Linked DNA regions of Xenopus tropicalis. The protein of the gene in region 1 purifies or fractionates together with the protein of each later gene. This does not show direct contact. Links are inferred from orthologs where the notes say so. Each region holds a gene or a part of one and is shown on either strand. Other genes may lie near its edges.

The links.
Region 2: the proteins of prmt8 (region 1) and ewsr1 purify together in Homo sapiens (affinity purification with mass spectrometry; 3 studies listed by BioGRID and IntAct, counting the BioPlex papers as one, with this or other methods). This does not show direct contact. The link is inferred for Xenopus tropicalis from reciprocal best matches to the Homo sapiens genes PRMT8 and EWSR1.

The regions. Positions count from the first base shown.
Region 1 is NC_030679.2:14,584,291-14,588,121, reverse strand, and holds part of prmt8 (protein arginine N-methyltransferase 8), read left to right. Parts: intron 1-2,391; coding exon 2,392-2,534; intron 2,535-3,490; coding exon 3,491-3,578; intron 3,579-3,831. UniProt on the Homo sapiens protein: S-adenosyl-L-methionine-dependent and membrane-associated arginine methyltransferase that can both catalyze the formation of omega-N monomethylarginine (MMA) and asymmetrical dimethylarginine (aDMA) in proteins such as NIFK, myelin basic protein, histone H4, H2A and H2A/H2B dimer.
Region 2 is NC_030677.2:144,939,680-144,942,945, reverse strand, and holds the end of ewsr1 (RNA-binding protein EWS), read left to right. Parts: intron 1-43; coding exon 44-166; intron 167-304; coding exon 305-437; intron 438-1,072; coding exon 1,073-1,167; intron 1,168-1,687; coding exon 1,688-1,931; intron 1,932-2,039; coding exon 2,040-2,079; 3' UTR 2,080-2,692; downstream 2,693-3,266. UniProt on the Homo sapiens protein: Binds to ssRNA containing the consensus sequence 5'-AGGUAA-3'. Might normally function as a transcriptional repressor. EWS-fusion-proteins (EFPS) may play a role in the tumorigenic process.

The DNA.
Region 1 (3,831 bases):
AGGGGCACATTTATCACACCATGAAAATAGATACATAAAGGCATCTTGTTATTGAGCAGTTTTCCTTTAACTCAACCCAATCATAAAGCTGTCCCACTACGCCCCCTAGTTCTCTACAGGACTTGTTGAAAAACTTAAACAGTACCTTTGATAGAATTTACCATTGTGCCCCCAATTCACTCATATTATCACAGAGAATGATAACTAATAACAAGATAGCTGCAAATAAAGTAAACATAAAAATCAAAGGAATTATATTAATCTGGCAAACCTGACATACAGGGCTAAATCTTACAACATTTAGATATAGTCCTAAGTATTATAGGCCCATGACAAACATAAAAAATGGCTAATGGGAATTACCCTTGAGTGGGGTCCATTAGCACTGGAAGATGCTCTGGTGGTATAACAGTCTCATCTGAGCCTTGGTACACACATAAATAAACTGTCAGGTATAATGTCAAACCAACTGGCAGATAATGTTGTACTTTGAGTTTTCACACATAATTATAATGTATAATTCAGTGGATCTCTTAAATGTGTTCTGCCTGCTATGGGAGATGGCAGAGTTTAATGCAAAATGTATGTCCCCTTTTACCTAAATAGAAGAACATAAATGCCATAAATATAAAGGCTCATGTGCAACCGCGCGTTACTGCATGACTGCCCCCCCCCCAGGCTGATGTATCAAAGGCTGGCAATCGGTCAAATTAGCCTGTTCATTCAATTAATTTATCACTATTCATAGCCTTCATGGATTCAATGGGGGTCATCTATGAATGCAAATGCAATAAGTAAAGTGCAATGCTGCAAAAAATTAGTTTTTGGATTTTGTTTTTACCCATAGTCAGGCCTGGATTTATGGGAAAAACACACCAAATTGTGTTCACCAAGAATGTGCAACATGTGTTAAAATGGACTAGGTTAAACAACATTGGTTGTATCAAAGCATCTGCATCTGATACACAGGGTGCCCCTATTGATGCAAGCCACTGCAGCAACCCCAAAGCTACTACAAGCTGCAGGGTGGTAACATATGCATTTCAAGGTCCCCAATGAAGGCACAGTTGGGGTTCAAGGACCCACCACCCTGCCACTGCTGCTCTCTACTCTGCCCTCAGCCACCACCACTCTGGCTCTGCTGTTATGGCCAGCAGCAAGTAGGTAGTGGAGCTGGGGCGACTAGCTTGCAGGCAGGTGGCAAAGTGTCGGGACAACAGGACTTTTCCCAGTATCCCAGTGGGCCTATATGACCTTGAGGTCAGACGTGTGCATCTATGCCATTTCCTATGGTGCTGATCACAATTTAAATGATTTTAAACAATTTATCCAGAATTGACCTGATTTAATCAATTTGTTATTTTTGTTAATAAATCATTAGTGAATCTGTACCAAAGACGTCAACTTCCAATAAGGCTCTGTGCTTCTAAGATGTGTGTGCCTGGGGGGCTGGTATGTGGGGTGAGGGGGTGCCCAGGGTTCAGCAGTTCTTTGGGGAATAAAACCTCCTAACCTTCATCTGAGCCGGAATAATCACAGAGATCAATGTGCTTTGACAATAAATATACCAACCGCATTGAGCGCAGAGAACAATAGGCAGCAGGAGGGACTCCTACAGCTGCTACATTTAAGGAAAATAAAATGGAAAATGTATTTGGAAAATAATACTGAAGGAGGCAGAGGGGGCCATACGCAGGAGGAGGTGTTATTTTCACATTATGCACCTTTCCAGCTCAATTTATTTTTAATATCAACTATTTTTTCCCTGCATTTATATTTTGCGCACTTTCTTTCTCACATTGTTATCTGCTGGAAAGCTTTTAGCTGAGGTGTAAGGCTTCATATGTGCCATACTCTAAATATATCCTCTGCCCAACGTCAGATCCTCAGTCCTGGCATCCTCCTGCAATGCAAAACCTTACAGGGACACCAACCCCTACTGCATTGCATGGTTCAACCACACTTGCTGGACTACAAACCCCAAGCTTAAGGGGTGCTGGGAGCTGTAGTCTAGCAATATCCAGGTTGGATCTTTAAAGCTATTTTGCTGAATAAAAGTTTTCCCCAGCTCTTCAGGGCTGGCACCTGCATTAACATGCAAAGTAATACTCCAGTAGGAATCCCAGCTGATCTGCGTAAATCTGTTTCTTTACTCATTGTTCCTACATTTTGAATTGGAAGCATTATGCACAGTTTCCTAGCAAGTCTGTCCTTCCTCCCCATATTTGATTAAAGTGTTCCCAAAATGGCACAATAACCTTTGTATGTAAGAGCAAGATGGCTGACATTTTTGGTCAATTTCGAAAGTTTATAAAGGGTATCAAACTTAGACAATATGAATTTAGGATTTATTAAAGATATTTTTTTGTTATTTCTCCCCCCCCCCCCCAGTAATTACAATATTTAGAGGCAAAGTTGAAGAGGTGGAATTGCCAGTGGATAAGGTGGATATCATTATTACCGAGTGGATGGGCTACTGTTTGTTCTATGAGTCCATGCTTAACACGGTCATCTTTGCACGAGATAAGTGGCTGGTAGGTTCTCTGCATGTTACATAGCTAAAGCCAATAACAATCATTCACCAGCTACATGCATGTTATTTTCATATTGATTTATTTGATGTTAGCCTGTACAGAGAGATACCATAAAACTATGGCAGCTTAGGTATTCCCCTGTACTAATCACAATTCAGCAGGAACAGCCCCCTAAGTTTGCCCATAGCCTCTACAGAGAGATACCATAAAACTATAGCACCATAGGGATTCCCCTGTACTAAGCACAATTCAGCAGGAACAGCCCCCTAAGTTTGCTCATAGCCTGTACAGAGAGATACCATAAAACTATGGCACATAGGGATTCCCCTGTACTAAGCACAATTCAGCAGGAACAGCCCCCTAAGTTTGCTCATAGCCTGTACAGAGAGATACCATAAAACTATGGCACATAGGGATTCCCCTGTACTAAGCACAATTCAGCAGGAACAGCCCCCTAAGTTTGCCCATAGCCTGTACAGAGAGATACCATAAAACTATAACACCATAGGGATTCCCCTGTACTAAGCACAATTCAGTAGGAACAGCCCCCTCAGTTTGCTCATAGCCTGTACACAGAGATACCATAAGACTATGGCAGCATAGGGATTCCCCTGTATTAAGTCAGCAGAAATGTTAAGGTAAGGTGGCCCTTTAAATAAAAAAGGCTATTTTTCAGTCTATACTCCCTCGATCTATCTGGCAAATATAGTCAGAGCATAGAGCATTTTTTTCTCCCTGCTTTCCTTCAACTGACAATGGCTTTGATTTAGACAGACATTTATATCTAGCTGTGTGGCTGCAGGCGGATTTATCCATTCAGATATTAAACTGTGAGTGACAGAATAATGAAAGCATGCAGGGGGTGCTTGTCTGCCATTGATACGTGCAGTTCAAAATGTGATGTCTTTGTCAGGTGAATTGATTACAAGACCAATTTCCCCACAATTCATCAACAGAAACCTGGAGGGCTGATGTTTCCTGACCGAGCTGCCCTATATATCGTTGCAATAGAAGACAGACAATATAAGGACTTCAAGATCCATTGTGAGTATCCTGTCCTTATGGACTGTCATGTTGGTGGGGAACCAATTCCAGACTTTTGGGGAGCATACTGGGGAGATTAAACCATTAAAGCATAAATATTCCCTGTGTCTATCTCTAAGGTCAAGGTCAAATGGGGCATTTTTATGTTATGTATTGACCATCAGTCTGGCTGCATTTTGCTTCTAAATTGCTCTTCTGCTTGGCTTTTTTTTTTTTTTAAATTACTAAAAATTCTTTTGAGATGTCTTCCTCC
Region 2 (3,266 bases), on another chromosome or scaffold:
CTAGATTGCAACATTCATTCAATTTTTTTTTTCCTCTCTTTAGGGAAGGATCTTAATGGGAACAAGGTGAAAGTGTCATTGGCTCGCAAAAAGTCTTTGCTAGGTAGCATGAGAGGGGGGTCACTTTTACGTGACAACAGAGGACAGCCGCCACCTCTCCGTGGAGGTAGGAAATGATTGCTCCCCTTCTTAAAGAATCATCTTACCTTTTATGTGGTATATTGTATGTAGACTATACCTAATTTGTCAGGACTATGCTATGCACAATTTTACTTATTCAAATTGCAAAACTGTTCTTATTTAGGTCCCATGGGTCGCTTGGGTGGCCGAGGAGGGGAACGTGGGGGATTCATGCCAAGAGGGCCACGTGGGCCAAGAGGTAGTCCAGTTAGCGGTAATGTCCAGCACAGGGCTGGTGACTGGCAGTGCCCCAACCCGTAAGTATAATAGAGAAAATTTACTGTATTTTTCATTAAGGTAATAACAACATTATTTTGCATTGCATTTTGCATCAGTTAATAAAGCTTTTCCAGCAGAATCTGCTGGAGGGCAAACAGTTTTATTTTTAATTTTGAAATTTACTATGGCTAGCCATATTATTTTCCCAGGGTGCTACAGCCATGTGTCCTGTGCTCTGACAAACTTTGCACTTCACTGCTGAGCTGTAAGTTTGAGTAATCACACCCCCCCTCCCTTTTGCCCCCAGCAGCCGATCAGCAGAACAATGGGAACGGGGCAAGATCCCAGTAGATATCCGAATAGCACTCAATAGTAAGGAATCCAAGTCCTGCTTGGGACTCATTCAGTTACATAGGAATAGGAGAAACGATAGACCTATCTGAAAGCAGTTCTTATGTGTAGCGCTAGCTCTTTCTGGACTTGACACAATGCACTGAGATGGCTGCCTACACACCAATATTACAACACAACTAAAAATAAAAATTTGGTTCAAGAATACAGTTTTAAATGGTAGTGAATTATTTGCTGTGTAAACAGTGTAATTTAGAAATGAGAAGTACACCATAAAAATCATGACAGAAATGTGTCTAATTCAGTTTCTCTTTATTTTTAGCGGATGTGGAAACCAGAATTTTGCTTGGAGAACAGAATGCAACCAGTGCAAGGCTCCAAAGCCTGATGGCCCTTTCCCTCCTTTCCCACCCCAAGGTAAGGTTGGTTATAATGTTCCTTTTTGATATTGTGATAACATGATTTTTTCCCCATGGGAGTAATATTAAGTAAATCTCAAGTCTCGGACCGCCTGCTTTCTAGTTTGTCTAATGTTAGATAATGTTTTCCTGTCATGTTTCCTCTGGAAACATTTTGTTTTGGGCTAAAAAGATCACTTATTTCAGATGGAGTTTCCGGCTAGTTTTGGTTGTTAGGGCTATGGCACAGAGTTACTTGTAGCCAGCAACTTGGTGAGGCTGCAAAACGCCAGAAAATACCCTGCCCAAGACAATACAGAGAATTGTCTCTGCTAGAACGGTAATTTTGTAGCTTTGTGTCATTGCCCTAAAAGTTACAGGGTAAGTGCATACACAATAAATATGTAGTGTTCCAGGTATCTGTAATATATTGGTTATTCAGATTTTTTAAATCCTTCTTGCTAGTAACAAATAATAAGGGGCTATTCTGTTTTGCACCACCCTTAATTACATATCTAACTGAATTGCTACAATTGCAGGAGGAGAACGTGGAAGAGGTGGTCCAGGCATGAGAGGAGGCAGAGGCCTAATGGACCGTGGTGTGCCTGGTATGTTTAGAGGTGGTCGTGGAGGAGATAGAGGAGGCTTCAGAGGGCGTGGTATGGACAGAGGATTTGGAGGAGGAAGGAGAGGAGGACCTCCAGGTCCCCCTGGTCCACTCATGGAACAGCTTGGTGGAAGAATTGGTGGTGGAAGACGAGGTGGCCCCAGCAAAATGGATAAGTATGTTTTGTTGGGGGTTTTTTTGTATCTTATAATAACTGCATAACATGCACCCTGTAATATCCTACAAGCAACCTACTAAATGCAAACTTTTTTTTTTCCCCCCAGGAGTGAGCATCGCCAGGAACGAAGAGAGAGACCCTACTAGTTTCGGAGCCACCTTTACTACCAGATTTATTTTTTAAACCAGAAATGTTTTAAATTTATAATTCCATATTTATAATGCTGACATGAAGATCCTCCCTTCACTGTCACATTATGATTATTCTTTGTCTGTAACTTTAGTATTCACAATTTGTGGAGATATTAAAATGGAAATTTAATGGTAGTATTGCTGTCTTTTTGTTTTGCTTTTGTTTTTTTTACCTTCCTTTTGAGAGCAAACATAATTTTTAGCTTCTTTGCATGTGAAGGTTGATGGTTTTGAAGTCTTTGAATGAAAGCATGTGCATTATCTTGACAGAATCTATGGCTAGAGAAGATAGACCATACAAAACTGTTTTTATTTTTAGCAGGTGAATCTGTTTGGCCCCTGTCTTGGATCTTCAAATGGCTAATAATACCCTCTTATGCGACTGTGGATTTGTGTTTAACTTTTGTTTGTTTTTTGGGGAGGGGTGGGCTTGCTATTGGTGAGTATATTATTTTGTGGCCATTCTGTAAAAAATGGGGATTTATTTTATTTTTGTTTTAATATACTGGCTTGTGTTAATTTGTTGGACCCCACCCCATAATACTGTAATAAAATCTTGTTGAACCACTATTTTACAAATTGGAACTCCTCAATAAATGTAATTTTTAAATGGGTGGTTTTCATTATGGAAAACAGTTCTCTTCTCATCCATTGGCTAAAAAGTTTCCTACCATAAAGACCTAAAATATTAATTTGTCAATTTTGTAGTTATTTTTTTGTAATATTGATGCAAATCGCCAGTCAGTATGCAGTGCTGACATGAAACTGAGAAGCTGCTTTTACTGGTATAGTGCCCATTATCTGGAAACCAGTAACCCATACATTTACAGGAAGGCTATCTCCAATAGACTTGGTTATAATAAAATAGAAAAATTATTTCCCTTTTCTCTAATAATGAAACAGTACCTTGTACTTGATACCAACTAATATATAATCCTTATTAGAGGCAAAACAGTCCTATAGGGTTTAATGCTTAAATTATTTTTTAGTAAATTTAAGGTATGGAGATCCAAATTATGCAAAGACCCCATATCTGGGAAAACCCCAAGCACTAAGCATCTGGATAACAGGTCCCATACCTGTATTTAAAACACTTGGCACAAGCCAGATTCCAAAGGTGCAAGGAATATAAGGAGCATGAA